Callithrix jacchus: one gene and its partner. The protein of the gene in region 1 interacts with the protein of each later gene in a biochemical or structural test. Links are inferred from orthologs where the notes say so. Each region holds a gene or a part of one and is shown on either strand. Other genes may lie near its edges. The genes, in order: FKBP8 and EGLN1.

Region 1 (16,173 bases):
TCACTCTGTCGCCAGGCTGGAGTGCAGTGGCGAAATCTTGGCTCACTGCAACCTCTGCTTCCTGTGTTCAAGCGATTCTCCTGTCTGAGCCTCCTGGGTAGCTGGGACTACAGGCGCGCACCACCACGCCCAACTAATTTTTGTTTTTTTGTTTGTTTTTTGTTTTGAGACAGAGTTTCGCTCTTGTTACCCAGGCTGGAGTGCAATGGCGCGATCTTGGCTCAACGCAACCTCCGCCTCCTGGGTTCAAGCAATTCTCCTGCCCCAGCCTCCCGAGTAGCTGGGACTACAGGTGCGCACCGGCATGCCCAGCTAATTTTTGTATTTTTAGTAGAGACGGTGTTTCACCTTGTTGACCAGGATGGTCTTGATCTCTTGACCTCGTGATCCACCCGTCCCGGCCTCCCAAAGTGCTGGGATTATAGGTGTGAGTCACCTCGCCCAGCCTAATTTTTGTATTTTTAGTAGAGACGGGGTTTCACTATATTGGCCAGGCTGGTCTCAAACTCCTGACCTCATGATCCGCCCTCTTCTGTCTCCCAAAGTGCTAGGGTTACAGGCATGAGCAACCGTACCTGGCCTTTTTTTTTTTTTTTTTTTTGAGATGGAGTGTCGCTCTTGTTGCCCAGGCTAGAGTGCAATGGTGCAATCTTGGCTCACTGCAACCTCGCCTCCCCAGTTCAAGCCTCCTGCCTCAGCCTCCTGAGTTCCTGGAATTAGAGGCATGTGCTGCTACGCCCAGCTAATTTTTGGGGGTTTTTTTTAGTAGAGATGGGGTTTCTCCATGTTGGTCAGGCTGGTCTCGAACTCCTGACCTCAGGTGATCCTTCCGCCTCGGCCTCCTAAAGTGCTGGGATTACAGGCGTGAACCACCACACCCAGCCCACTAATATTTTATTATTATTTGTAGAGGTGGAGTTTCACTGTGTTGCCCAGGTTGGTCTCAAACTCTGAGCCTCAAGGGATTCTTCTGCCTCAGCCTCGCACAGTGTGAGGATTACAAGTGTGAGCCACCACTCCAGCCTTCATTTTGCACATAGTACTGGTCATAGTTGCAATTTAAATACCTACCTGCGTCATTGTTTGGTTAATATCCAGCTCCCCTGGCTGGACTAGAAGCTCAGTGGGGGCCGGGTGCAGTGACTCACATCTGTAATCCCAGCACTTTGGGAGGCTGAGGCGGGCAGATCACGAGGTCAGGAGTTCGAGACCAGGCTCGCCAACATGGTGAAACCCTGTCTCTACGAAAAATACAAAAATTAGCCAGGTGTGGTGGTGGTTGACTGTAATCGCAGCTATTTAGGAGACAGAGGCAGGGGAATCACTTGAATCTGGGAGGCGGAGTTTGCAGTAAGCTGAAACCGACCTGGGCAACAGAGCAAGACTGCACCTCAAAAAATAAAAATAAAATAAAATAAAATGAAGATAAAGAGAGTCTTATCAATCCTGACGAAGGCAATAAAGGAGAAAGGAGGATGGAGCAGGTAAGAAAGAGAAAAACCACCTCAGAAGGCAGATTTATGTCTAGGCATGTCCGTCATCACGTTAGATACCAATAGACCAAACGCCCCAGTTAAAAAAGAAAGATGGAGCCGGGAGTGGTGACTCATGCCTGTAATTCCAGCACTTTGCGAGGCTACGGTGAGAGGACAGCTTGAGCCCAGGAGTTCAAGAACAGCCTGAGCAACATCGCAAGACTCCATCTCTACAAACAATAAAAATTTAAAAAGTAGCTGGGTATGGTGGTACACAGCAGTAGTCGAAGCTACTGGGGAGGCTGACCTGGGAGGATTGTTTGAGCTTGGGTGGTTGAGGCGGCAGTGAGTCACCGCACTCAACTGCATGTACCACTGCACTCCAGCCTGGGCCACACAGCTAGACCCCATGTCAGAAAGAAAGAAAGAAAACACGGCTGGGTGAGGTGGCTCACGCCTGCAATCCCCACACTTTGAGAGGCCAAGACAGGTGGATCACCTGAGGTCAGTAGTTCGAGACCAGCCTGGCCAACATGGTGAAATTCCCCTTCTCTACTAAAAATACAAAAATTAGCCAGGTGTGGTGGTAGGTGCCTGTGGTCCCAGCTACTCAGAAGGCTGAGGCAGGAGAATCGTTTGAACCCAAGAGGCAGAGGCTATAGTGAGCAAGACTCCATCTCAAAAACTTTAAAAGAAAGTTTTGGGCTGGGCGCGGTGCTCACACCTGTAATCCCAGCACTCTGGGAGGCCGAGGCGGGTGGATCATGAGGTCAAGAGATCGAGACCATCCTGGTCAACATGGTGAAACCCCGTCTCTACTAAAAATACAAAAAATTAGCTGGGCACGGTGGTGCGTGCCTGTAATCCCAGCTACTCAGGAGGCTGAGGCAGGAGAATTGCCTGAACCCAGGAGGCGGAGGTTGCGGTGAGCCGAGATCGCGCCATTGCACTCCAGCCTGGGTAACGAGAGCGAAAACTCCGTCTCAAAAAAAAAAAAAAAAGAAAGTTTCAGTTCACCAAGAAGACACAACAACTGCAACACTTCATGCAGCCAATGATGTGGCCTCCAAGTAGAGTATTTGTTGTTGTTTTTGAGATTGAGTCTTGCTTTGTCCTCCAGGCTGGAGTGCAGTGGTGCCATCTCGGCTCACCGCAACCTCCGCCTCCCGGGTTCAGGCAATTCTTCCGCCTCAGCCTCCCAAGTAGCTGGGACTACAGGCGCCCGCCACCACATCTGGCTGATCTTTGTATTTTTAGTAGAGATGGGCCATGTTGGCCAGGCTGGTCTCCAACTCCTGACCTCAGGTGATCCGCCCACTTGGCCTCCCAAAGTGCTGGGATTACAAGTGCGAGCCCCTGCGCCTGGCCGAGTATTTGTTTTATAAGGGAAGAGTAAATATAGGTAAAATGTTTGCCTGCAAATACCTGTTCAATGAGTGCTAGCCATTATTATTATTGTCGGTGGTATTATTTTGTAGTTTATTTTAGTAGCTCATTGTTTATTTATAATAGTAATTCTTCTTCTTTTTTTTTTTTTTTTTTTTGAGACGGAGTTTCACTCTTGTTACCCAGGCTGGAGTGCAATGGTGCGATCTCGTCTCACCACAACCTCCGCCTCCGGGGTTCAGGCAAATCTCCTGCCTCCGCCTCCCAAGCAGCTGGGACTACAGGCATGCACCACCATGCCCAGCTAATTTTTTGTATTTTTAGTAGAGACGGGGTTTCACCATGTTGACCAGGATGGTATCGATCTCTTGACCTCGTGATCCACACGCCTCGGCCTCCCAAAGTGCTGGGATTACAGGCTTGAGCCACCGCACCTGGCCTGGTAATTACTATTCTTATTTTAGAAACAGTGTCTTGCCTTGTTGCTCAGGATGCAGTTCAGATCCTGGATCATAACTTACTGTGGCCTTGACCTCCTGGGTAAGGGATGCCTCACACCTCAGCCTCCCATTTAGCTGGAATTACATTTTTAAATTTTCTGTAGAGGCTGAGCATGGTGGCTCCTGCCTGTAATTCCAGCACTTTGGGAGGCTGAGGCGGGCAGATCACGAGGTCAGGAGTTCAAAACCAGCCTAACATGATAAAACCCCGTCTCTACAAAAAATACAAAAGAAAATTAGCTGGGCATGGTGTTGTACACCTGTAATCCCAGCTACTCAGGAGGCTGAGGAAGGAGAATTGCTTGAACCTGGAAGGCAGAGGTTGCAGTGAGCCCAGAGAGCTTCACTGCACTCTATGTGAAAGCCAGAGGGAGACCATATCTTCAAATAAGTAAGTAAATATTCTGTAGAGGAAGGCTCTCACTTTGTCACCCAGGCTGGAGAGCAGTGGCGTGACCTTGGCTCACCACAACCTCCACCTGCTGGGTTCAAGTAATTTTCCTGCCTCAGCCTCCCGAGTAGCTGGGACTACAGGTACACACCATCACGCCAGGCTAATTTTTGCATTTTTAATAGAGATGAGGTTTTGCCACGTTGGCCAGGCTCGTCTTGAATTGACCTCAGGTGATCCACCCACTTTGGCCTCCCAGAGTACTGGGATTACAGGTGTGGGCCACTGTGCCCAGCCCCCTAGGTGATTTCTTTCTTTCTTTTTTTGAGATGGAGTTTCGCTCTTGTTACCCAGGCTGGAGTGCAATGGCGCGATCTCGTCTCACCGCAACCTCCACCTTCTGGGTTCAAGCAATTCTCCTGCCTCAGCCTCCTGAGTAGCTGGGACTACAGGCATGCGCCACCATGCCCAGCTAATTTTTTTGTATTTTTAGTAGAGACGGGGTTTCACCACATTGACCAGGATGGTCTCGGTCTCTTGACCTCGTGATCCACCCGCCTCAGCCTCCCAAAGTGCTGGGATTACAGGTGTGAGCCACCGCGCCTGGCCCTAGGTGATTTCTTACATAGCTCTGCTGTGTTACCACCTTTTCTGGTCGTCTAGCCTCCCTTCCTTCCTTCCTCAGTGACTTCCCTGAGACTCCACTGCTACCTTTTGTGCCAGGCACTGTGCAAGCCTCAGAGCAAAGCGTTCCCAGGCTTTAGGGCTCTTCCAGTGTAGCGGGCAAGGCAGAGGTCGGCAAGGCAGAGGTCAGCAAGGCAGTGGCTCACACCTGTAATCCCAACACTTTAGAGGACTGCTCGAGCTCAGGAGTTTTAGACCAGTCTGGGAAACATAGGGAAACCCCATCTCTACAAAAAATATAAATATTAGCTGTACATGATGGTGCACCTGTTGTCCCAGCTTCTCAGAAGGCTGAGGCAGGAGGATCGCTTGAGCCCAGGAGGTTGAGCTGAGATTGAGTGATCTGAGATTGTGCCACTGCACTTCAGCCTGGGTTTCAAAGTAAGGCCCTGTCAAAAAAAAAAAAAAGAAAAGAAAAGAAAAAAAAAAGTCAGTGATACAGGTAAACTAGTTTGGGAGGCCAAGGGGGATGGATCATGAGGTCAGGAGTGCGAGACCATCCTGGCCAACATGGTGAAACCCTGCCTCTAAAAATACAAAAACTAGCTGTGTGTGGTGGTGTGCACCTGTAGTCCCAGCTACTCGGGAGGCTGAGGCAGGAGAATTGCTTGAACCCGGGAAGCAGAGGTTGCAGTGAGCTGAGATTGCACCACTGCACTCCAGCCTGGTGACAGCGAGACTCTGTCTCAAAATAAATAAATAAAAATAAATAAACTAGTTATGAAGTGGAGGTTCATCGACTTCATTTTGCCAAGACAGCCAAATGAGGCCCCTGGTCTTGCCTTGGAGAGGTCTGGGAGGGCTTCCTGTAGGAGGCCACCTAGGAACTCCAATCTGAGAGGTTATCTCCAAAAAGCTGGTTACCACCTCCATGATAGGTACCTCCCAAAGCCAGTGTCTGACTCATTCATTCATCCATCCATCCATCCACCCACCCATCCATTCATCCATCCATTTATTGAGCTATAGATGCCAGGCATGGTTCAGGGAGGTGCTAGGTACAAAACAAGCAAAAATCTCTGTCAGATGGAGTAGAGTGGGAGGTGCCCCCTCCAAACACAGGCAAAAAAAGCGACAAGATAATTCTGGATGGGACTAACTGCTAGAAAGGAAAAAAAACTGAGTGAAGGTGGGAGAAGTGCCCCGGTTTCAAAACAAGATCTACAAAAACTTAGCTAATCAAAGGTGCTGCCTTCTCCCTGGGCTGTGGGCATCTTATCATCCTTCAGCAGAGTGCGTGGGGGATGAACTCTTCCCAGTGGCCCTGCGGGCTCAGTCGCCTGCCCTGCCGTAATTAAGCGCCTCCTGTATGCACCACACAACCTTCTGGACATTAAACTGGGTGGGGGATGGGAGGGAGGTTTCTGTATGCCCTCGGGCACGTCACTCCCCCTCAGAACCTCAGGTCCTCTTCTGTAACTAGGGCTTCAGGATGGGTCATCAGTAACCCCAGAGCTGCCCTAACGGAACTCTTTAAGGAAATAGCATTTAGTGCTGTCCCCCAACAGCCCCCAAGGTGAGAGTGCATAGATGGGGGTGTTTATCCCCATTTCGCAGATGATCAGGATGAAGCTCAGAGGAGAGCGGGGAGTCGCACATGCTGCACGACTCTGACTCGTGCTGAGGTCCAGCCCGGGGTTTCCTGCCCCCGCCCAAAGCGGCCCGGAGGCTCGGGTCCCTTTAAGAACGTCCCGCGGAGCCAAGCAGGAAGGGGGAGGTGCCAACGCCCGGGACGGATGTCTGCACGAGCCAATGGGCGCGGCAGTCGCGGCAACGGCAGCCAATGGGCATGGCAGGGGCGGGGCCGAGCGGCTGAACCTGGTTCCCGAGGCGCGGCGGCCGCGGCTGGGGGCGGGGAGGGGGGCGCAGGACCCCAGGCGGGGGTCCCGGAGCCAGAGGCAAGTGTCCTGCGGCGCCGGGGGCGCCTTGTCGGCTGGGGCGCTGCCCTGGCCTGGGCTGGTCCGGGGGCCAGCGCGCAGCGGGCTGCGGCCGATGGGCGGGGCGAGGCGCCGCGGGGGCGGCGAGCCTGGGGGCACACGGGGGTCGCGGGTGCCCGAGGGGGCAAGGCAGGCCTGGGGTGTCCGTTATAGGGGTCATGGCGGCGAAGGGAAATCCCATGGGGGTTTCCCTACGCAGGCGTGCAGGGCCAGGGGCGCCCGAGGCGTGCGGGGGTCGGGTGCCCCAGACTGGTGGCGTCAGACAGGCGTGGGGCGTTGGGGGCCTGGGTCGGCGCTTGAAGCAGGGCCCGGCCGGGCTGTGGGGCGTCAGGAGGGCGTGGGGTGTTATGGGATCGAGAAGGGGGGGCGTCTGGGGACACTAGAGTGTTTACGGAGCGACGGAGCGGCTGTGGGGAGAGCTGACCCGGGCTGGGGGCGGTGGTAGTTGGGGCGGGGGTGGGGGGTGGGAGGGGAGGCCGAATTGTGCGGGCGCGGGGGATTATGGGGGTGGGGGCTGGGAGGGTCTCAGAAAGTGGGGCCCGCGCCCGGGAGGAGCAGGCAGGTGAGGGGTGAGGAGGGGATGCTGTGGGCTGGTTTGATGGCTGTGCTACTCTTCTGAGCTTGGGGCCTGAGGGCCAGAGGGTTAGGTTGTTGGTTCAGGAGGCCTGGGGCAAGGAAGAGGCTGTAGAACGAGGTGGGACCTCGACCACTCCTGGAAAGGAGGCTGCTTTGAGGGGATAGGACCGAGGCCTGTGAAGGGGAGGATGCATTCGTCCTAGGGGAGGGTTTGGACCAGGGCCCCTGATGTTGGGGTTGTGGGGATAGTTTTAGATTGAGAGCGTAAAAGGAAAAATAATCAGGGTTTCTGGGTGATTACTGTTGGTGGTCTTGGGAAATGTCTCTTGTTTGGAGAAGAGGCTGGAGGTGGGAGGCCCTAGTAAAAGGTTCAATTCCCTCAGTGGCCCCAGAGGCTCTAAAAATGGCTTCCCTAAGTCCTCAAAAGCTGTCCTCTCCACAAAAATCCCAGCACCCCTGACTTAGCATATAATCAGGCAAAGCCACAGGGCCTGAAGCCCCAGGTTCAAATCTTCCCTTGGCCATTGGCTTTCTCTGTGACCTTGGGTAAATGGCTTTGCCCCTGTGGCCTGTTTCCTGTTCAGTAAAATGTTGACGGGAATGTTCCCTACTTCCTGGAGTATTTGTAAACGTTAAATAATAATTAGCTCTAATAATGGCTAACACTGTTTGAGCCTGATGCCAAAGGCTTGATGCCTGGGTTAATTTCTCCCAACAAGCTGGGGTGGTTGTTCTACCCACTGTACAGGTGAGGAAACTGAGGCTGGGAGTCCCTGAGTTACACAGAAAGTGATTGGCAGTGTGGGAAATGGGTACAGTGGGGACTTTGAGGGACTGTGTAGGAGTCTTACCCACATCTCTGCCCCCCCCCACCACTTCCAGGGCCAGTTCCCGTCCCCCCAGCAGCATGGCGTCCTGTGCTGAACCCTCTGAGCCCTCTGCCCCGCCACCTGCGGGGGTCCCACCGCTTGAGGACTTTGAGGTGCTGGATGGGGTTGAGGATGCTGAGGGGGAGGAGGAAGAGGAGGAGGAAGAGGAGGAGGAAGATGACCTGAGTGAGCTGCCACCGCTGGAGGACATGGGACAGCCCCTGGCGGAGGAAGCTGAGCAGCCTGGGGCCCTGGCCCGAGAGTTCCTGGCTGCCATGGAGCCCGAGCCTGCCCCGGCCCCAGCCCCGGAAGAGTGGCTGGACATTCTGGGTAAGGAGCAAGGGTGGATTGGGGTGACCTTGGCCCTGGCCCTCTCGTCCCCTGAGCCCCATTTCCTCATCTGTGCTGTGAGGGTTGGAAGTCATGTGGTCACCACCATGATCGCCAGCCAGAGGCAACTACTGGAGATGCTTCATGGTGATGTACCTCATTCATTGACTCACACAGGTGCACAACATACCGTGTCCCTGTTTCCCAGATCTGCCAACTGTGGCTCAGAGAGGCTGAGTCACCTGCCCAGAGCCACACAGCCAGCACACCAGGCGCTGGCAGCTCCTAACCCTATTACTGCATCTTTTTTTGGTGTTTGTGTGACACAGGCTTGTACTCTGAAAAATGTGTCCTAGGCCAGGTATGGTGGCTCACGCCTATAATCCCAGCACTTTGGGAGGCCGAGGCAGGTAGATCACAAGGTCAAGAGATCGAGACTATCCTGGTCAACATGGTGAAACCCCGTCTCTACTAAAGACACAAAAAATGAGCTGGGCACGGTGGTGCGTGCCTGTACTCCCAACTACTTAGGAGGCTGAGGCAGAAGAATCGCTTGAACCTGGGAGGTGGATGTAGCGGTGAGCTGAGATCGTGCCATTGCACTCCAGCCTGGGCAACAAGAGCGAAACTCCATCTCAAAAAAAAAAATAAAATGTGTCCTGGGTGCTTGCCAGTCTGTGCAACACAGCAAGACCCCACCTCCAAAAACAAAATTGTGTCCTGGGGTCAAGTAGATCAGCCTTCTGGTGGGTTCACAGTACTCCTAATATTGTAAATGCTCAGAGAAATCCTACAGGAAGAAAACTAGGGGAACTCACACATGTTCTGCCTAGCATACCCCATCACAGCAACTGAAAACAAGGGAAATGTTAGTATTCTGTGGAAGTCGTCTCGCCGGTGGTATAGTACACCAAATAACGCTGGTGCCTATGCAAATAAGATGTCATTACCACTATTAATTGTACAAAAAATACCGTAGCAATACCATCCAATCACACTGACACTGATGAAACAGTAATATTACTAAATATCACTACCGCTACTGATAAAAATCGTACTACTACTTTTTTTTTTTTGAGATGGAGTTTTGCTGTCACTCAGGCTGGAAGCTGTGGTACGATGTCAGCTCACTGTAACCTCTGCCTTCCAGGTTTAAGTGATTCTCCTGCCTCAGCTTCTCAAGTAGCTGGGATTACTGGCTCCCACCACTGAACCTGGCTCATTTTTTTTGTTTATTTTTATTTTTTTTTGAGATGGAATCTTATTCTGTGTCCAGGCTGGAGTGCAGTGGCACAATCTAGGCTCACTACAACTTCCACCTCCCAGGTTCCAGCAATTCTTCTGCCTCAGCCTCCCAACTGCCTGGGATTTCAGGTGTGTACCACCATGCCCAGCTCATTTTTGTATTTTTAGTAGAGATGGAGTTTCACCATGTTGGCCAGGATGGGCTTGATCTCTTGACCTCGTCATCTGCCCGCCTCAGCCTCCGAGGTGGGATTATAGGCGAGAGCCACTATGCCTGGACTGTTTTTCTGCATTTTTAGCAGAGATGGGGTTTCACCATGTTGGCCAGGTTGGTTTTGAACTCCTGACCTGAAGTGATCCACCCCCTTTGGCCTCCCAAAGTGCTGGGATTACAGGTGTGAGCCACCATGCCTGGCCAAAAATCTTATTACTTCTGAAAATAGCACGACTGCCATTGCTCTCCAGCCTGGCTGACAGAGCAAGACTTTCCTAAAAAAATAAAAATAACACCAGGTAATATTTCCTGAGCACTGATTTTTGTGCCAGGCCTATATATCATTTCATTTCATCCTTGCAACAACACTGTGGACCGGGCACCGTGGCTCACACCTGTAATCCCAGCTCTTTTGGAGGCTGAGGCAGCGGATCACCTGAAGTTGGGAATTGGAGGCCAACATGGTGAAACCCCGTCTCTGCTAAAAATGTAAAACTTAGCTGTGGGTGGTGACACCTGTAGCCCAGCTACTTGGGAGGCTGAGGCAGGAGAATCGCTTGAACTCAGGAGGCGGGGGTTGCAATGAACTGGTTGTGCCATTGCACTTCAGCCTGGGTGACAGCAAGCAAACAAAAGCAACAAACAGGCAGGGCATGGGTGTCTCATGCCTGTAATCCCAGCACTTTGGGAGGCCGAGGCAGGTGGATTGCTTGAGGTCAGGAGTTCGAGACCAGCCTGGCCAACATGGTGAAACCCCGTCTCTAAAAAAAAAAACACACACACACACACACACACAGAAAAACAAATAAACAAACAAAACCACCGTGTTGTAATTTCTACTATATCCCCACTTTACAGATGGCAAAGGGTAGGCTCAGAGAGGCGAAGGTGCTTGCCCGAGGTCACACAGCCTCCCTGGCCATGTTAGCGATTGGCAAGCTGTTCTTTCCTCCTGATACTGTAAGAGCTGAGCTGCCCACACCCACTGGGAGCATGAGGTTGGCACTGTGTTTATAATTGTGCCAGCCGTTTTTTGAGGTCAGAATGGGGGCTTCTGTTTCTCAGGCAAGGAAACTGAACTCTTTTTTTCTTTGGGGGGGGTGGAGTCTCGCTCTGTCACCTAGGCTGGAGTGCAGTGGCACAATCTTGGCTCACTGCAGCCTCGGCCTCCTGGGTTCATGCAATTCTCCTGCCTCAGCCTCCCGAGTAGCTGGGACTACAGGCATGCGCCTCCGTGCCCGGCTAATTTTTGTATCTTTAGTAGATACACGATTTCACCATGTTGGTCAGACTGGTCTCAAACTCCTGACCTCAAGTGATCCATTCGCCTTGGCTGGGATTACAGGTGTAAGCCACTATGCCTAGCTGGAAACTGAACTCTTGAGAGGAGACATGATTTTCCCAGAGGCCATCTGATTGAGAGGCAGCCATTAGTGCCTGCAAACCTCGAGACACAGGTCCATTGGGATCCCCTAACTTGGTGGTTTCCAGATGAGTTAAGGGACTTGTACAAGGTGGGAGTAGCACAGAAATTTGGAATATTCTAGAATATTCCAGAACATAAGTGGATGATATACCCCTGCCGCTAACCTTTAGGCCAGAGTTCACTCAGACTCATGAAATACTCTAGGCCAGGCCATGAGTGGTAGCTCATGCCTATAACCCTAGCACTTTGGGAGGTGGGTGGATCCCCTGAGGTCAGGAGTTCAAGACCAGCCTGGCCAACATGGCAAAACCCTGTCTCTACTAAAAATACAATAAAATATAGGCATGGTGGTGCACACCTATAATCCCAGCTACTTGGGAGGCTGAGGCAGGAAAATCGCTTGAACCCAGGAGGTGGAGATTGCAATGAACCAAGATTGTGCCATTGCACTGCAGCCTGGGCAACAAGAATGAAACTCTGTGTCAAAAAAAAAAAAAAAAGAAAGAAATACTCTAGGCCAGTGGTGTATTACAGAACTCAGGTAAACGTGGGAACAGGAGGGACGGCAGAGCACCTCAGACCCACGTAGCCCTTGCTTTGCTAAGATAGTGTTTTGTGGACACCTTGGTAGCACTGCAAAGAAGGGCAGGGCTGTGTGTCCCCGGCCGGGTTATCTACCCCCTGCACCTCCATTTCCTGCTTTGACGGGGTGGTGCTGGCAGCAGTCACTCCAGTGCTTTTCTGGGACGATGGGGGGATCGTCACTGTGGGGTTATCTGGGCGTGTTTGTGAGGGTATTGGCTATGGTCATTCCTGTGATTGCTGGGGGCACGAGAGGCAGCCTTTGTTTATAAGCTGTTCAGCTCTGTTTGACTTTATTTTTTGTTTGTTTGTTTTTTAAGATGGGGTTTCACCATGATGGCCAGGCTGGTCTTGGACTCCTGACATCAGGTGATCCACCCACCTCGGCCTCCCAAAGTGCTAAGATTACGGGTGTCAGCCACTGCACCTGGCTATTTTTTTTTTTTGAGACAGTCTCGCTCTGTCACCCAGGCTGGAGTGTAGTGGCACAATCTCAGCTGACTGCAACCTCTGCCTCCCAGGTTCGAGTAATTGTCTGCCTCATCCTCCCGATTAGCTGGGATTAAAAGTGCCCACCACCATGCCCAGCTAATTTATTTATAAATTTATTTATTATTTTATTTTTTTAGAGACAGGGTCTCCCTCTGTTGCCCAGGCTGGAGCATAGTGGCTATTCACAGGCATGATCCCACTACTGATCAGCACGGGATTTTTGACCTGCTCCGTTTCCTACCTGGGCCAGTTCGTCCCTCCTTCTGGTGGTCCCCAACTTTTTGTATTTTTAGTAGAGACAAGGTTTCACCATCTTGACCACGGTGGTGTTGAACTCCTGACCTCAGGTGATCTGCCTGCCATGGCCTCCCAAAGTGCTGGAATTACAGGTGTGAGCCACTGTGCCCAGCCCTCAATTTTCTTTAAAAAAAAAAAAGGCCAGGCGAGGTGGCTCATGCCTATAATCCCAGCACTTTGGGAGGCCGAGGCAGGTAGATCACAAGGTCAAGAGATCGAGACCATCCTGGTCAACATGGTGAAACCCCGTCTCTACTAAAAATACAGAAATTAGCTGGGCATGGTGGTGCGCACCTGTAGTCCCAGCTACTCAGGAGGCTGAGGCAGGAGAATTGCTTGAACCCAGGAGAGGGAGGTTGCAGTGAGCCGAGATCGTGCCATTGCTGTCCAGTCTGGATAACAACAGTGAAACTCCGTCTCAAAAAAAAAAAAGAAAACTGGGCACAGTGGCTCCCGCTTGTAATCCCAGCACGTTGGGAGGCCAAGGTGGGTGGATCACAAGATCAGGAGTTCGAGACCAAGCCTGGTCAACATAGTGAAACCCCATCTCTTTTTATTTATTTATGTATTTTCTTGGAAATTCTTTTGGGGGCTTTGCGGCCAAAACTGGAAAGCCTGCTAGACAAATTCTAAAAGAGCTGTAACACTAACCCCGTCTCTTAAAAAAAAAAAAAAAAAAAAAAGCCAGACCAACCATTGTTCGCTGTCTTGGTCCCTGGCACCAGCACGGTCACCCCGAAGTGTGTCCCATCCTGTTCAGTGTCCCACACATGAAGTCCCTGACTCTGGTGGCAGAGTGGCTGTTGGAGGTTTGGTTTGTGCCCCGGTGTTGGGCCAGAAACAGAGGTTCCTATCCACTCTCTGTGCCAGAAACTTGCAGCTCCAGATAGCATCAGACTCAGAACATTCTAGAATATCCCAGAAAATGGGTGGGTCTCCAACTGCCCCTAATCTAGGGCCTGTTGCAGATTCATGGTCTATCCCAGACCAGTGGAGTGTTGTAGAATGCAGATGGATGTGGGGACAGGGGTGACCGCACACAGGGCCAGTCCACTCCCCGTGGGTTAGGCCCTCGCTTGTTTAAGGCACCGCGTTGTAGATTCTTTGGGAGAGCCCCAGGAAAGCACAGCCTTTGGTCCAAGGTTAAAGTTGGGGAAACCGAGGCCAGAGAAGCCTGCATTCCCCTGGGACAGCCAGTGGGCAGAGCTCAGGGTGGGGCTCGGGAGCGGGTGCCTGTTTGAGCTGCCCGGTGACAAGCTGCATGTCCCTGGCCCCTGGCAGGAAATGGGCTGTTGAGGAAGAAGACGCTGGTCCCAGGGCCACCAGGTTCGAGCCACCCAGTCAAGGGCCAGGTGGTCACCGTGCATCTGCAGACGTCGCTGGAGAACGGCACGCGGGTGCAGGAGGAGCCGGAGCTGGTGTTCACCCTGGGTGACTGCGACGTCATCCAGGTGCGGGCTGGGGCGGGACAGGGCAGGGGCAAGGGGCGCACCTTGCTGGGCCTGGGCCTGCCTGACCGCTGGCTGTCCCCACACCCCCCAGGCCCTGGATCTCAGTGTCCCACTCATGGATGTGGGGGAGACGGCCATGGTTACTGCTGACTCCAAGTACTGCTACGGCCCACAAGGCAGGTGAGAGCCGGCCACCCTTAGGGTCTCAGCAGGGGATGGGTAGAGTGGGTGTACCCCTCAGCCTACCCTGTCTACCTGCCCATTTTATAGAAGGAGAAACAGGCTGGGTGAGGTGGCTCACACCTGAAATCCCAGCACTTTGGGAAGTTGAGGTAGGATTGCTTGAGGCCCGCTTTTCCAGACTAGCCTAAGCAATATAGACCCCATCTCCATACAAAAAAATTTAAAAATTACTTGGGTGTAGTGCTAAAAATTAGCTGGGTGTGGTGCATGCCTGTAGTCCCAGCTACTGAGGAGGCTCAGGCAGGAGGATCACTTGAGCCCAGGATTTCAAGGCTGCAGTGAGCCAAGACTGTGCCACCGTACTCCAGCCTGGGCAAGACAGTGAGACCCTTCCCTTTAAAAAGAGGAAAGCAGAGGCTTAGGGAGGGGAACTCACTCATCAGGTCCCATCGCTCCAAGGCGGCAAGTCACTTATGCTGCACTTTACTGAGGAGGGAGTGACAGAGGGCGGAGGATGATAGATCTGGGACTTGAGCCAACCCAGCAGGTTTGGGGATCACCAGGTCTGAGTGCAGCCCTGCCTGCCCCCACCCCACTAGCAGGAGCCCATACATCCCCCCGCACGCGGCCCTGTGCCTGGAGGTGACCCTGAAGACAGCTGTGGATGGGCCTGACCTGGAGATGCTAACGGGGCAGGAGCGCGTGGCCCTGGCCAACCGGAAGCGGGAGTGCGGCAACGCCCACTACCAGCGGGCAGACTTCGTCCTGGCCGCCAACTCCTACGATCTCGCCATCAAGGCCATCACCTCCAGCGCCAAAGGTGACTGTCCGCCGGGTCAGATCCCCACCACCTCCCCTGCAAAGGTGTCCACTCTCCATTGCCAGAAGCTTTAGCCCCAGAGATCCTCAGACTCAGAACATTCTAGAATATCCCCGAGTATGGGTAGATCCCCAACTGACCCTAAACTAGGGGCCTGTTGCTGACTCGTGTTCTATCCCAGTCCAGTGGAGTGTTATAGAATGCAGGTAGATGTGGGGACAGGGGTGACCGCACACAGGACCAGTCCACACACCCCATGGGTCAGGCCCTTGCTTGCTTAAGGCTCCATGTTGTAGATTCCTCGGAGAGCGCCAGGAAAGCACTGACCTTGGTTTCGGGTTAAAGTTGGGGAAACTGAGGCCAGAGAGGCCTGCATTCCCCTGGGGTAGAAGGCAGCTTCCAAGGGGGGTCCGGGGGTCTGTTCATGTGGTGACAGCCACCGTGGCGGACACTGTCTCCCAACAGTGGACATGACATTCGAGGAGGAGGCACAGCTCCTGCAGTTGAAGGTGAAGTGTCTGAACAACCTGGCGGCCTCGCAGCTGAAGCTGGACCACTACCGTGCGGCCCTGCGCTCCTGCAGCCTCGTACTGGAGCACCAGCCGGACAACATCAAGGCTCTCTTCCGCAAGGGCAAGGTGGGCCATGCCAGGGTGCCAGGATGGGTCACCCAGCCCAGGACAGAGGGGCTGGTCCCCAACCCTGCATTTGAGGAAGGCACAGGGGTGCAGGAGTGTGGTCTAGGGCATAGCATTTATTGGCCGAAGCTAGATTCAGTCCTCGACTCTTGGGTTCCCCACCTTTGCTCCAGTGTGCAATTTTTGTTTGTTTGTTTGTTTTTTAAGAGAGTCTCGCTGTGTCTCCCTGGCTGGAGTGCAGTGGCGCGATCTCAGCTCACTGCAACCTCCGCCTCTGCTTCTCAGGTTCAAGCAATTCTCCTGCCTCAGCCTCTCGAGTAGCTGGGACTATAGGCGTTTGCCACTATGCCCCCAGCTAATTTTTGTTTGTTTTTTTCTTTTTCTTTTTTTTTTCTCTTCTTTTCTCTCTCTCTCTCTCTCTCTGTTTTAAGGCCAGTCCTACAGCATGAGAATTTTTGTATTTTTAGTTGAGACGGGGTTTTATCATGTTGGCCAGGCTGGTCTTGAACTCCTGACCTGAAGTAATCGATCCGCCTCGGCCTCCCCATGTGCTGGGATTGTACACATGAGCCACTGTGCCTGGCTTGGCCCAGTGTTGAAAGCTCCTCACATGGTCCCATTTTTTCCTCAGAGTAAAAGCAGAATCCTAGTCCCAGCCCTTGGGGCCTTGAGTCCTC
Region 2 (16,143 bases), on another chromosome or scaffold:
GGTTCATTCCATCTCTTCCCAATTTTCTGTAGCAGTTTTAATTTCAACAGTAGGTTTAAATGAAGATATTTTATTTCTGACTTTATTTTGACATTGAATCTAAATCTATGATTGCCTATGTTGAACCATTCAATTTTCTTTAATGTTTCCCTAAAGGCCAAACTTTGTATATTTCTTTTCACATGGATTTACAAGTCATCTTGAGTGAGTGGTTCATGCAAGAAAGCACAGACATACTTATAGACAACACTAGAAGTGTTGCAAGGTTTACTGCAATAATTCCTGTAGGCGGCTCCAGTGGCAGAGCCAATAAGAGCATAATGCGGCCGGGCGCGGTGGCTCAAGCCTGTAATCCCAGCACTTTGGGAGGCCGAGGCGGGTGGATCACGAGGTCAAGAGATCGAGACCATCCTGGTCAACATGGTGAAACCCCGTCCCTACTAAAAATTACAAAAAATTAGCTGGGCATGGTGGCGCGTGCCTGTAATCCCAGCTACTCAGGAGGCTGAGGCAGGAGAATTGCCTGAACCCAGGGGGCGGAGGTTGCGGTGAGCCGAGATTGCGCCATTGCACTCCAGCCTGGGTAACAAGAGCGAAACTCCGTCTCAAAAAAAAAAAAAAAAGAGCATAATGCACAAAGAAACCATAGAGCCTCTAGAGAAGAAAAGATGGGGCTAGAAGGTCAATAGTAGTAGTAACTAGCACAGCCAATTTGAAGGAATGTGAAAATTTAGAGCATGTAACTTTTTTCCTGTTGCTCGGCTAGGAAATAAGTGTCAGCAAGCTATTATAAATAGCAACACTGAAAAAGTGAGGCAAGAGAAGAAAAGCAGAACAGTGAGGGCAGGATAAAATAATGATAATTTCCTTCTAATCGCTCAACCAAAAATCTTTAAGTCACTCATGAATGTTCTTTTCTCTCATACCCCACATCTAATTGATCAGCAAATCTCATTGATTCTACTTTCAAAATATATCCAGAATTCAACAAATTCTTACCACTTCCATAGCTATTACTCCAATTTAAGCCCCCATCATCCAATGCCCAGAATACTATAAGCATTTCCTAACTGGTATTTCTGATTCCACCCTTCTTCCCTACATCTACTGCTATACAACGGCCACAGAGATCTTTTAAAACAAATTATCCCATATCACCAAAATAAAACCCAGCATCCTTGCCATGGCTTATAAGGTAAAACCCTACACAAACTGATTTTATTCCCTATCCCACTACTTCAGTCATATATCCTTTACTCCTTCCACTATAACCACGGTGGTTTCCTTGCTATTTTCTTTTTTGTTTTTTGAGATAGAGTCTCACTCTGTTGTCCAAGTTGGAGTGTAGTGGCATGATCTTGGCTCACTGTAACCTCCACCTCCTGGCTTCGAACAATTCTCCTGCCTCAGCCTCCTGAGTAGCTGGGACTACAGGCACATGACACCATGCCTGGCTAATTTTTGTTTTAGTAGAGATAGGGTTTCAACATGTTGGCCAGGCTGGTTTCGAACTCCTGACCTCAAGTGATCCGCCTACCTCAACCTCCCAAAGTGCTCAGCTTGCACATCAAGCACATTTCAAGCTAGGGCCTCTGTATTTGCTATTTAATACCTTTCCTTGGAATGCTCCTCTTCCGCATATCCACATAACTCATTTCCTCACTTTATTCAAGTCTCTATTTAAATGTCATCTTATTTTATCAATCTTATCCAAAAGAGTACTCCCTAGTCACTCTAACCTTATTTTACTTATTCTCCATCTTAGTATTTACCACCTAACATAGCATGTATTACTTATACATTTTGTTTACTGACTGTCCCTCCCCACCTCTCACTTCCTCCAAGTAGAAGTTAAGGCACACGAGAAGGCAGGCTTTTTGTTGTTATTCAAGAGCCCCTAGTTCCTAGAACAGTGCCTGTATGTGGAGGGTACTCAACATTTGTTGAATGAAAAATTAGTGAAAATAGTATCAAAACAGGACTCAGAGACTACAACAATGGATAAGGAGTACTCCTATTTTGCTTTGGTAAAGAAATAGGACCTGGGACACTGAATAAGAAAAATAAGAATTCCAAACTCATGAAAACTTTATGGTGCTCTCAACAAGCAAAGACAGGCTACAGATACTGTCCAAGCTCTTCATAAATAAAACTAGTAAATTATCTGAATGCCATCATGTAGTCACAGACAGTGTTCCAAGTGTGGAAACGAGGGCATAGTGGAAAAGAAGGGAGAATGTAAGCACAACAGTAAAATCTTAAGTAACAGAAACTGTCCAAGAATGTGCTAGAATGAAAGGGAGACTGAAATCGTTGGTGTCGCTTTAAAGGCCTAAAGTGAAAAATTAAACAACTAAGCTGATACCATAAAGGCGCAGGCTTCAGAAAACATGGAAGAAGAACAAAGATAGATTTCAAGCCTGATGAGGAAAAAAAGGGAAAGGAAAACAGAGTAAACTGTAAATCAGAAACAGAGTGGGAAGACAGCCCCTACTAAAGAAACAAGAGAGGGAAGGCCTACTTCAGGGCAAATGGCTTTAAATATCAGAGGAAAGACAGATGGATAAAGAATATCGAAGGAAGTTAAATAGGTATTATGTAAAGGAGAAAAACTTAAACTAGAATGTCAGATAAGCCAATGTGTAGAATGACAGAAGCAAAACAGAGAAGAAAGTCTTGAATGTTCAAGCATATTCTCAAAGATGGCAGAGGCTCAGTGCGATAGTTCATACCTGTAATCCCAGCACTTTGCTTTGTTTGTTTGTTTGATTTTGAGACAGTTTCTTGCTGTTACCCAGGCTGGATGAAGTGCAGTGGTGTAATCAGAGCTCACTGCAACCTCCACCTACTAGGGTCAAGTGATTCTCCCTCCTCAGTCCCTCAAGAAGCTGCAACTATAGCCATGTGCTACCATACCTGGTTAACCATACCTGGTTAATTTTTGAATTTTTTTTAGAGATGGGTTTCACCATGTTGCTCCCTGGTCTGGAACTCCTGAGCTCAAGCAATCTTCCCACCTTGTCTTCCCAAAGTGCTAGGATTATAGGCGTGAGCCAGAACTTTGGGAGACCATGGCAGGAGGATTATTTGAGGCCAATAGTTCTAAAGCAAAAAATTTAAGAAATTATACTGGTGTGGTGGCACATGCCTGCAGTCCCAGCTGAAGCAGGACTACTTGAGCCCAGGGGCTTGAGGCTGCAGTGAGCCATGACTGCACCTCTGCACTCCAGCCTGGTGCAAGTGAGAACCTGTCAAAAAAAAGAAAAAAAGGCATAAAATATACCAAAATTAGCTAAGTAGAAATATGTCATTGTTACATGAAATACAGCATAAAGTTACAGATATGAATGAACTGAATCAAATGTCTGTTGATTTTGTCAGCAGCTCTATGACTTAGAACAAGTTACTTCACCTCTCTGGGACTTATTTTTTCCCTTAAAAAAATGTTATTTCTTCTCTTTAAAAAAAAAAAAAAATAGGTGTGAATGCAGGAAAAGTGGTTAGGTTAAAAAAAAAAAAAAAAAAAAAGGATGATCATTCTAAGCCCTTTTTTCTCCAGTTTATGGGAGTGGGATGAGACAGGGAAAGCACAGAGCTCTTGAAAGAAAGAATCAGAAAGACAAGAAATTTCTAAAATGGAAGGAGTAATAGTTAAGAACAGTTCTGCAAAGCACTTTACCATCTAAAAAGTACTTTACATGAAACATCATATGCTTACCTCACAACAATCCCGAGAAGCTAAAAAGACAGGTATCACTTCACACCATTTTATAAACAGAGGAACTAAGGACTCAGAGATTAAGAAGCTGGATAAGGACAGAAACCATAGCAAACTCAGGATCCAACCCAGATTTAATGGCAGAACCAAATCCACTTTCTTTCTTAATAATGTTTTTTTAAACAATGATGAGGTCTCGGATTTCTGGACTCAAGCGATCTTCCCACCTTAGCCTCCCAGAGTGTTGGGAATTATAGAAGTGAGTTACCACATGCAGCCCAGAATACATTATCTTTCAAAGTTAAGATGATCTCTCTTATCTTCTCCTTCTCCACATAATTAAGGCATTGTGGGTATTTTTGTGGATTATTAGATAGTAGATAAGAGTTGCAAACATGCCATAAAAAAATTTTTTTTTTTGAGACAGGGTTTCATTCTATCACCTGGGCTCAGGCAATCCAGCCACTTCATCCAGCCTTCCGTGTACCTGGGACCATGGGCATACACGCCAAATTTTTTTTTTTTTTTTAGAAACAAGGTCTCACCATTTGCCCACACTGGTCTTGAACTCCTGGGCTCAAGCAATCCTCCTGCCTCAGCCCCTCAAAATGATGGGATTTATAGGTGTGAGCCACTGAGCCCAGCCTGAAAAAAATCTTTAAATGTAAAATATAATTGCTTTACAACTAAAGGAGTTAGTTTACATGTAAACTACACATCAACTCACTATACAAAATGTTTTCGCACATAGTTGATCACAACCTATTAAGACTACCCTCTCAGTCCACATGTCCCTTATAGCTGGCAGAATTACTGCAGTTGTAGTATTTTCAGTCTTTCTGCATACAGAATAACTTACTTTGTACTTAAATTCTGACATAGCTATAAAAATCACTAAACAAGTAACTTCCATTTGTGTATCCTGGATCCCAAGCATATAAAGAGAATGGCAGAAATAGATTAAGGTTTATTTATTTAGGTTTAAATAACATAAGTTCATTTTCTCACAGTTCTAGAGGCTGAAAGTCTGAGATCAGGATGCCTGTATGGTCTGGTACTGGTGAGGGCTCTCTTCCTAGGTCAGTTTTGTTTTTAACATCTAAGAGGATTGTCACCACACCTTTGTTAGTGATAATAAAGCAGCAGCATTTTCCTCATCCTATTCTTTGCTCTAAAAGCCATAATCAGCCAGAGCTAACTAATTAACTACAGTAACAGTGAAAAATCTTAGTAATATAATCTGCTGCTTATTGGTCCCAACCTATTTTATTACTCCTTTTCTTTACATATGTTTTAATGGAACAGATGAAGTTTTGGTTTAAATTCCAAAAATGTTATGTATACAATTTTAGCACTTCTATTTTAATGGGAAAATGTTTTCCTTCAGAGTACCTAGGATACTCCAACGGAAAAGTTCAACACTTTCCCATGATCCTCAGTCCTCTGAATTTCTCTTCATCCTATACCCCCCAAGTCAAGGCACACTGCTCATCACAAACCAGCAGACCATGGTTTCTTTCTACTGGGTATCACTGAGTCTTCTTAATGAAAACAAGCATGAGCAAGACACAGGATCAAAGGGCAGGGTAAGGGCAAAAAGGGGAAAATCCCAAAAAGACCAGAGAAAGTGGAAACAGGAGCTTGGTTACATCAGTGACTACAATTACATTTGTTTTTCTCCTGTATTACTTCATTTTTCCCCTGTGGTTCCTTTTTTTAAAGTAGTTGCATAAACAGTGGCCAGATAAGGATGTCTGAAGTAGAAATTCAGGGGAAAACAAAGCCTACACTGAATGGGCCACAGCCAATCATGTATCATCTGATTTCCAGGCCCTGACATAAAGAACATGCAATATAGATGTAAATAAAAAAGAACATCAGATTCTTAGTCAGAAAATCTGAATTTAAGGCCTAATATGCTGCAGAATTTCCAACGTGTGAACTAACTTTCCTGAGTCCCACTTTTCTAATCTATAAAAAGAGATACAACCACCTACCTACTGCTTTGAAAGCTGACATGAGAAAAATACTACACATCTGCTGCACAGAACTTTTAAAATCACTATCATGTTACGAAGAATAATAAAATTCTAAACTGAAGTCTCCCTCTGCAATCACATACAAAAACCATATTCTGACATCTCTTAACACTTATACCAACAGGTGCATAATTCAAGTGGATATATACAAAAGTGGATTTTTCAGCCACTATCTGAAATAAACATTGCACAGTCACCTAATAAAAAGTTTTAGAGCCCAACCATAGAGTATGATTATTCACATATAAAGCTAGTACTATTCACCCCCTTTCAACAAAAAATATATATCAAATTGCAGTTCCAACAGTGTGTAAGCTACATCTCATTTAATGTTCTACCTATAACTAGTGTAGTTAAAAAAAAAAAAAAAAAGCTTAAGTTCGATAGCTGAATGACTTAAGCCTGAACACCTGCTAGGTTACTATAAGTGGTAGACCTCTGCCAAGTCTGAGCTGAAAATCACTCAAATGTAAATTACGAATAACACTACCCACTGCATAAAGATTATTGTGGCCACAAGAGGTGGCTCAAGTCTGTAACTACAGCACTTTGGGAGGTCCAGGCAGGAGGATCACCTGAGCCCAGGAGTTCAAGATCAAATGATCAGCAAGACCCTGACCCTACAAAAAAAATGTTTTTCATTTGGTCTAGCACAGCACAGTCAAGCTGTGCCTACAGTCCCAGCTACTTCGAAGCTGAGGTGGTAGGATCGCTGGAGCCCAGGAAGTGGAAGCTGCAGTGGGCCATGCTTATAGCCTTGTACTCCAGCCTGGGCAACAAAGGAAGCCCCTGCTTCAAAAAAAAAAAAAAAAAATTACTCTGATTGTACCTGCATTGACCCTAATCTGATGCCTAACACACTGCGGTTGCTCAATATACAGTGGGTGGTATTTTGATTGCCTTCTCATTTCCACCAAGCAAACAACCTTGTTTTTTCAGGAATACTTACATGTTCAAACACAATTACCAAAACCTCTTTCAGCCAAGAAGTACAATTAAAGGAATTCCTGAATATCATTTATAGATCCTGAAGTTGTGTCTCTAAAATTAATATAAGCATAAGATCAAATCCAAAGAGTTTAAAGGCCATCCCTTCTTCATCCAGTCCCTTATTACCTGTTACTAGGTACAGTTAGGTGACTTAAAACCCCAAATACTAGAACTCTTGAGGAAGGCAGTAGCTATTTTCTAATAGCATCCCTACCAGAAGCAACTGCTCTCAGAGCCAGGCTGTCTGCTGTCCCTTATCTAAGAATGACAGGTGAAAGGACTTGGAAAGCTAAATTAACTAAGGAAAGCAGATCAAGAAAGATTTGGGACATCATCTTCAAGAATCCAATTTAAACTTATGTCCCAACTATATACTTTGGTCAGTCTTCACAGCCCTGTTCCCTCAAACTAATTTCTTTCCTGCTCTGAGCTCAGGACTTATGTTCAGATGTGTTCCATGACAACGTTCATTTTTAAAAGTATCAATGAAAAGCTAGTAAAAGACCAAGGCTGAGATTTCATCAGATCCCCCTTTTCCTTCCAGTTTAATATGATTCAACTGTTCGTAAGACTACATGAAATTAAGATGTGTGCCTTCACCCAGCAATGAAGTGGCAATACGTAAATGAGACTCCACATTGTATTTTTCCCCACAAAATTTTCATGTTTATAATTTTTCTCATTGCCTATGTTCAGCCTTCCGAGCAGCCTGAGAATCACATGTAATGACTGTCAAAACAGATGGTCTCACACACACTCCAAAAAAACCACTGGGAAGAGTCAGCATGTGTGTACAAACATGTAAGTGTGATGCTCTCCCAAGTCCATCTCTCAAAACTCACAAAATCAGACAGAGACTGATGGTGGAGGAGGGAGGCCTGGGAGTAGCTGGATATAAAGAAAAGATCAAGATCTGAGAAGCAAAATGAATAAGACCTGCAAGAGAGTATTAAGGAAGAAAGAGTGCACCGTGAGGGAGAAAAAGAGAAAATAGACTAGGTAGGAAGTGAAGAAATCTGTGGAGAAAAAAACGCAACAGTAAAGAGAAAACAAAAAGATCTCACCAAATTGGGAGGATAAAACAAGTCCTCCTGCTCCAATTTCGTGTTGTTTTTTCCAGGAAGCTACAAAACAGTTCTTTTTCAACAGAAGGATAACATTAACAAAGCAAATAAAGGAAACCAATGCTAAAAATGTAGCCTACCTACACAGAGAGATCCGAAAACGGAAATACTTCTTTTCCCTTTTTGTAATGGGTTTCAAAACAGTAGGAACAGGGAGAGGGTAGGAGCTATAAGAGGGGGAGGGGAGTAGCCACGCTCTTCCTGAATATGGAGAGTCTTTCGACTAAACGCTTAAATTTACCTTTTTGTGGTCAGCCGGCAAATTCTTAACTGAACACAGCGTTTGACTCTCAATCAAAATGTGACGAGTGATTCAGACAGCACAGGAAATTTAAGTGCTTATGCAAACACAAGACAGATGCAGCATCAGGACTTGCTTTGGGTGGTACTCTAACACCCCCTCACTGGGTGGCTAAAACGCCACTAAGGAATGAATTGTGACTAACAGTGGAATGGAAGAAAAGAAGAAAGTAGCAAAGTTAAAGCGCCTACGTTTAGCCAGAAAACTATGCAATTAGCCGGAGAAGTCTGTGGACTGGCAGTAAGTGGAAAACAGCGGACACAAAGCGGCTAACCAGATCAAACAGTTACCCCGAATTCTGTCCGTCTTCCTTACGGGGTGCTATACACAAAGTCCTTTCTATACAGAGGAAGGCTGCTCCTCAGCCTAGGCAGTTACCGTCACGAGAGGGGCTGCCCGCCGAGAAGGGCATGTCCAGCGCAAACCCGCAGCCCACACTTACTTTCGTCCGGCCATTGATTTTGTAGCTGCCCAGCTTCCCGTTACAGTGGCGGATCAGGTCGTCCATGCTGCTCATGAGCAGCCCAATGGTTTCGCAGCCGGGCTCCTTGCCCTCGATCCAGGTGATCTTATCGCCTCGGATGTCCTTGGACGAATCACTCTTCTGGCTGACTAGCTGCCCGTCCGTGAACTTCCCGGTGTCGTGCAGGGCGCGCACCTCGTCGCCGATCTGCTGTCCGGTCTCCTTGCCGAGGAAGTCGTCCACCACACAGATGCCGTGCTTGTTCATGCAGGGCACGATGTACTCGAGCGCCAGTTTCAGCGCCGGCAGGGGCTTCGTCTGCCCGTTGGGCCGCAGGCCGCCGCTGTGGCTCAGCGCATCCCCGGGCGTGTTGCTCGGGGGGTACAGGTTCGCCTTCTCCTGGAACAGCGACGAGCGGGCCGGCTGCTCCTCCTTCCCGGGCTCGGCCTCCGCTGCCACCGCCGAGGCCTGGCCGCCGGGGGCCGCGCGAGACGGGGACGCGGCCGCCGCGGGGTCGGCCGCGGGCTTGGCCTTTGCCTTTGCCTTGGCCGCGTCCCCGGAGGCGCTGTCCCGGCGCGCCGCTGCCTTCCTGGCCTCCCGGGCCCCGGACCTGGGCGGCGGCGCTGCAGCCGGCGGCGCGGGGCCGGAGTGCTGGTGCGGGCCCACTCCGTGGCCGAGGGCGCCCTCGCTGCCCTGGCACACGAGCTTGTGCTTCTTCCAGTCCTGACGCTGGTGCTCCTTGCAGCAGTAGAAGGAGCTGCGGCAGCGGCTGCAGCGCAGCAGGTTCTCCATCTTCCCGCATAGCTCGCAGTACTGCCGGTCTCGCTCGCTCGGGCTCGGCCCGCCGGGTCCGCCGCTGTCATTGGCCATGGCGGCGGCGGCGGCAACGGCGGCGGCTGCGCCCGAGCAGGAGGGGTGGCGGCCGGACGGCCTCGCCCGAGGCTGGGGAGCGGGGAGAGAAATCGGGGCCGTTACTGCGCCATGCACCCGCTACCCTCGCCTCAGGGAGGCCGGCACCCCGCGCCCTCGGCCCGGCCGCTTCCGAGTCCTAGGCTCCGGCGCAGAGCCGGTGGCCGCCTTAGCGCCTCATCGCCGCCGTGGGCTGAGAAAACGTGGCCTGTGCGGCGAACGGCAACCTGGGCTCGGGCGCGCGGGCCTGGGGAGCGTAAGACCGGCCCCCTCGGCCGCCGTCGCCGCCTCAGCGTCCCGGGCGGCCCGGCCCAGGCTGTGGAGGAGCGCAGGGCATGCGGGCGCCACTCGCTCTGCGCGCTCTGCACGTACACCACGGCCCCGCGGCGACCCGGGCGGGCGGCGCGCGAGGGCGGAGGGGGCGGAGGGAGGGCCGGGGGGAGGGCCGAGGGGCGGGGGCCGCGCTCACACTTGGGCGCTGGCGCGGCGCCTGGGCCGCCTGCGCTCCTCCGCACTTGGCGGGGCCGGACCTCGGCCTCAGAGCCGGGTCGCCCGCCCTCCGTCCACCCGGGGCGGGGCCGGGACGCAGAGGCCGGTGAGCTGCCTCAGCCCGCAGCGGCCTGCGCGGGGACGCAGAGGGGCCGGCCCGCGAGCGGCGGAAAGGCGTGGGGCCGCGCGGGCAGCGCCTACACCTGCTAGGGGAGGGCGCCGGCCGCGAGCGGGTGGCGGAGCGGCGGCGGCGGCGGCGTAATCATGGCTGCTCTTCCTGCAGGCGGGCGCGAGTTGTGCGAGGCGCGCTCGGGTTAGGGTTACAAGGTGGCTACTGTGATCCTCATTTTGTAGAGGAGGAAACGGAAATTCAGAGAAGTAAAGTAACTTGCCCAAGGTCACGCAGAACTGACTGGGACTGAATCCAGCAATCAGGCGCTCAGATTCCAAGGCTGTTTTTTCCATTGCTCCATCCAGCCTCTATTTCAAGAAGCCGTGAAATGGTTAAGAACAAAAATAAGTATTACTGTGATGTTAATCCAATCTCTTGTGCCCCGTTTCAACCTAATTTAAAGGTTATGAAATTTGAGGGTTAAAATCAAAAACATTTTTAAAACCTTTGAAATCCCGCCGAGTTCGAACCCCCATGATTGGGCTACCAAGTCAAATGAGTGCTTATTCCAATATCCAATTTAAACTGATGGAATTATCCCTGAAAAGTTAATTTTGGTAGTAAGTGAGCAGTACTACTACATTAACGACTCTCACATTTATTTTTAATAGAATCTGTGCTACGCTGATGGATACAATTCTTTGTTTTATAGAGCATAAAAACCTTTCCATAAATAAGCCAAGGATGTTTCTGCTGTTATTTGTCTTAAGAATAAAAAGGCCTGTGACTTAGAGTTTAACAGTCTTTATCGAACACTTACTGTGGAAAATTCGGTGCTAGGCTTGTGTATCACTTGAATATACTGTAACTTCAGTCCTTGAGATATAGCCTTCCAAGCTTAAAGAAGCTGCAATATGTATTTCAAAAGCAGGATGTATGGAATTACTATAAACCACATTGTAGAATTTAAAAAAAATAAAGCTTGAATCCAAAAATATAAAACCTCTTCATCAAATATACATAATTTAAAACTGTTATAAAAGTCTGCTACATACGTAAATGGCATTCTGGGGATCCAGTCAGGTGGAAGAGGATAATAATTCAATCAGCTTGTCATTTGGGAAACTGAGGTAAATATACTCACATCTTCAAATTCCAAACCGAACTAAAAATCCACATTTCTGTAAAGAATTAAGACCTGGATCTGTCTTATGTGTATCCTACTTTCCCAGAGCTTTATTAAATACAGTAAAATGTCATTGTTGCAGACATTACTGATTAGGCTGTTCAACAGATGAATTGGGAGTGTACCATGTGCTACACTATCCTTGACAAACAAATGAATTAGTCATACTACACTCAGAGACACATAGTCCAATGCAGGAGGCAGATATGTAAAGAAGGACAATCCAGAGTTCGGAGTTTCCTAAAAGAGGGATGAATAGGATGGAATGGTAACACAGAAAAAGGAATTGGCTTTAAAACCCAGAAGCAAGCTATCTGTGAAACTGCTTTGCTATGTGTGTGTTCAACTCAGAGAGTTGAACCTATGTTTTGATTCAGCAGTTTAGAAACACATTTCATGTTAGAATCTAGAAAGAATCTAGCTCTGCTGTTTGCACTAATAAAATCTAAGCAAATTAATTCAGAAATTCTTAAAATGTAAAGCAGCTATCTCATGGCTTACGAAAAACTTTTAAAACATTTTTCATACACAAAAATTATGTAAAGTATAACAGATAAAAGTAGAGTCTAATACCTCTTGGGCCTTCTTTTACTACAGTAATTATAAGTGATTATTAATTATTCACAAGAGCAAGAACTTTACTAGGAACACTCATTCCATGAAACTTGATTCTTACAACAATTTCTTTAAAATTCACTATTTCAATCTATGGTGTGTCCAAAAATTATTTACATCTCTATATGCTCTTCTCATGTATTTTAACTGAATTTTACTTAAAAGAATAGATGTCTATATCAAAACCTTTATAAGCTTTCTTGTTCCAATTAAGTATACAAAATCACAAATTAAACATGTATATCCTAAATATACTTAACCCATCAAGTATAACACTTGCAATATTTTAAAAATAGAATGGACAAATATAAAATACTGATTTCAAATAGTTCCAAAGATCCTTGATTTCAGGATTTCCACCTATTCAGGCTTAATAATCTGAACGAATTCCAAATTAGTGAGGTTTCACCACACCATTTGCTGGTGAACAATCTTGTCGCCAACCAGATTCTGGAACTCCGGTAGCATTGTACCAGTGGCCACTTACTCAGCTCTTATAGACAGACTTCAGAATGTCATGGAAGAATATATTTAATTTATTTATTTACTTATTTAAATGTTACCAGAAGGCAGCACAGAGGAATTTATTTTATAAACATACGCGATGCTTAATATTGTGTGCCCAATCTGTGTTCTAAGCATTTTACAAGTATTAAATAATGTAATCATCATGTAATGCTATGAAGTAGATACTATTATTATGCCAATTTTACAGAAGGTGAAACAAATAGAGAGTGAGACAATGAATGTCCCTTCCAGTCGTTAAGATTATATGTTTAGGAGCACTAGGTGGGTTAACTAATACTCTGGGGCGAGCAAAGCCTTGTGTCTCTCAAAGCTAGAAATTATTACAAATGTTTTTCCTGCCCCCAATCTAACCAAGAGCAACTGTTACAGAAACTGAAGAATGAATTAAAGTAAGAGTGCTTTCATCTCCATATCAAACCAACTTAGACAAAGCTAATTGACCACCTATTTGGCTTCCCTTTGCTCTTCTGGCAGTATTTACTTAAGCCACTGTGAACTGACAAGAACTAAAAGAGGCAAAGCTGACCTAAGAGCCAAAGCTGAGGTTAGCTACAAGAACAGAGTTGAAGGAGGAAATGGATTTAGAAACGACTGTGTTGACTTTTGAGGAAAGCCCAGTGACCAGAATCTACCTTCCAAGGAGTAGCCCTATTTCTCCTTAATGTTTTTAAAAACACAACAGAGTATCTTTTCTGCTCAAGAAATCAAACATCTGATTGTTAACTAATGACCTCCTGTTTCTTCCATCTGTGACAATCTAGGTTACAGAGAAAAGTAAAATCACAAGTATAGCATAGGCATTCCACCAAGATAAACAGGAAAACGATCTTTGAGTTCTGGGAAAAGCAACTCAAAAATGTGAGCCATTTTCTAACTATGGTATTAGGACACACACAATTAGGTGTCATTGGAAAACAGCACCTGCTCATCTCTGTACTGGGGGTTCTGCCAGATGCACACGTGAGCAATGTGCTTCTCCGAGTACATGGAGACAGCTGTACTTTCCACCAAGGTTATTCCCTTATGAAAATGAAACAATTAAATAGATTTTGTATATATTTGGGGAGATTTATCAATCATCAAACTTTATCAGTTTACGACTTAAAAATTACCACCAATCCTGTTAAAATTGATCATCTCAGAAATACAACAAATATTTATAATCATCTCTCATTATAGCAAATTTTTTTATTAAAACCTGGGATACTATATAATGTGTTGATCTAATTTTTTTTTTCTAACAAACATTACCCTAATGTTGAACCAACTTTTAGGATAGTCACAATCAGTAACTACACCAACCCAGGTTGAAGAAAGCTAAATAATTTTTTCCCTGTAACATTTTCTTGTAGGAAAATTTCAACATACACAAAAATAGAGATAATAGCGTAATCAACCTCAGCCCTAATAAGTTCATCAGTTATTAGCTTCAACAATTATCAACATATGTTGATAGACAATTCTTCCTTACCCTCTCCGTACTATGTCCCCCACTTTTTTGCTAAAGTATTATAAAGCATATCCCAACTTCAATACGCACATCTGATAAGAACTTTCAAAAATCATATCCACCATGCCATTATTACACAAAATTAAGAAAAATCGCAACACTATACATCATCCACAAATGTTAGTTTTTTTTATTATCTCAAATATTCTGTTTACAGTTGCTTTATCCAATTCAAGATCTAAACAAGGTTCATACATTGAACTTAGTTGTTTCCTCTACCTCCGCCGCCTCACCTAATATCATCACAAATTGTCATGTTTCTTAAGGCCCTTCTACTCAATTTTACCAGCGTCTCACCCTTCATATCATAGATTTACTGTAGAAACTAGGCCATTTGTACTACCGAATGTCCCACATTCTAGAATTAGCTGATTACTTCCTTGTGAAACTACTCTTATTTCAGCAAATAGGTAGTCAAATCTAGAATTTTATTTTTTATTTATTTATTTTCTGTTTTTGAGATGGAGTCTCACTCTGTCGCCCAGGATAGAGTACAGTGGCGCAATCTTGGCTCACTGCAACCTCCACCTCCCAGGTTTAAGGGATTCTCCTGCCTCAGGCTCCCAAGTAGCTTGGACTACAGGCACCCACCACCTGGCTAATTTTTTGTATTTTTAGTAGAGACTGGGTTTTACCGTGTTAGCCAGGATGGTCTCGAACTCCTGACCTCATGATCCAGCAGCCTCAGCCTCCCAAAGTGCTGGGATTATAGGCATGGGCCACCACACCCAGCAGATCTAGGATTTTTATTAGATTGAGGTTCTAAATTTTAGGTGAGCATAATTCATGGTAGTTGCTGTATATTTCCTGTTACATCACATCATGAGGTACATATGTCTGATAGTTTTGTTTTATGATTAAATATTGCTCATGGGTTCAGGTGGTGTCAGCCCAATTCCTACATTATGTTTTTCATCCACCATCACCTGATTATTTTAGCATCCATTAATTGTGACTCAATCCAGTATTTCATTAGCGGTTGCAAAATAATGAATTTCTTTCTTTCTTTTTTTTTTTTTTTTTTTTTTTTTTTTTTTTTTTTTTTTTTTTGAGAAAGAGTTTTGCTCTTGGTGCCCAGGCTGGAGTGCAGTGGCATGATCTCAGCTCACCACAACCTCCGCCTCCTGGGTTCAAGCGATTCTCCTGCCTCAGCCTCCCAAGTAGCTGGGATTACAGGCATGCTCCACCTTGCCTGGCTAATATTGTATTTTTAGTGGAGATGGGGTTTCTCCATGTTGGTCAAGCTGGTCTCGAACTCCCGACCTCAGGTGATCCACCTGCCTCAACCTCCCAAAGTGCTGGGATTACAGGCATGAGCCACCTCACCCAGTGCAAAATAATGAATTTCTAATTCTAACATTCCTCCTCAATTTATTAGCTGGAATTCTACCATAACTTTTTTCATTAACTCTGTGGTTATCCTGAAATACAGTTTGTAGATGAAAGATAGGGTCCACATCTGTTTCTTTTTATTTATCAATTTTCAAAATAATGAGTTAGTGCCCTGGCAACTTCTAATGAGTCTCTCAAAAAAATTATCATGAATATATGTATTTTTATATATTTGAAGTGCATTAATTATTCTTTTTGATGCTCAAATTGTCCCACCTTTGGCCAGTGAGAAATAGAATTGGTTCCTATGTATTGTGGACGTGGTCACATTAATCTTTGATAGTTTTCTTGCTTGCTGGCACAAAATGGCCCAAACTTATCTTGTACATTTCCTGCCCTTGACATGGAATCAGTCATTCCTCCAAAGAGCTTGGTTCCTTTAAGTAGGAAATGGCAGAAACCATAATCAAGTGTACTCATTGCCACTAGGTTGTCATTACTTCTGAATCCTTCTAATAGAGCTGGGAAATCGACAATTTTTCAAGAGAAAAAATCTTGAATTCATACGGATATTTCCAATTCAAATGTAAGATTACAGGGTTTTAATTTCTTCGATTTTATATTTGTTGATTCTGTTTCTTAGGTTGAGCAGCCTTTATCCAAAATGCTTTGGACCAGATATGTTTCAGATATTTTCAGATTTTGGAATATTTGTACATACATAAAGTGATATCTTGGGAATGTGACCCAAATCTAAACACAAAATTCATTTATGTTTTATATACAATGTAAAGTCCTTTGAACTGACTACACCATGGACTACAACA

Evidence for each region.
Region 2: the proteins of FKBP8 (region 1) and EGLN1 form a complex in vitro, tested with the Homo sapiens proteins (2 studies listed by BioGRID, with this or other methods). The link is inferred for Callithrix jacchus from reciprocal best matches to the Homo sapiens genes FKBP8 and EGLN1.

The regions. Positions count from the first base shown.
Region 1 is NC_133523.1:17,248,820-17,264,992, reverse strand, and holds the start of FKBP8 (peptidyl-prolyl cis-trans isomerase FKBP8), read left to right. Parts: upstream 1-6,246; 5' UTR 6,247-6,428; coding exon 6,429-6,502; intron 6,503-6,754; exon of another isoform or gene 6,755-6,935; intron 6,936-7,831; coding exon 7,832-8,148; intron 8,149-12,991; exon of another isoform or gene 12,992-13,053; intron 13,054-13,685; coding exon 13,686-13,855; intron 13,856-13,946; coding exon 13,947-14,035; intron 14,036-14,637; coding exon 14,638-14,858; intron 14,859-15,323; coding exon 15,324-15,496; intron 15,497-16,173. UniProt on the Homo sapiens protein: Constitutively inactive PPiase, which becomes active when bound to calmodulin and calcium. Seems to act as a chaperone for BCL2, targets it to the mitochondria and modulates its phosphorylation state.
Region 2 is NC_133520.1:53,458,371-53,474,513, reverse strand, and holds the start of EGLN1 (egl nine homolog 1), read right to left. Parts: upstream 9,917-16,143; 5' UTR 9,506-9,916; coding exon 8,615-9,505; intron 1-8,614. UniProt on the Homo sapiens protein: Cellular oxygen sensor that catalyzes, under normoxic conditions, the post-translational formation of 4-hydroxyproline in hypoxia-inducible factor (HIF) alpha proteins.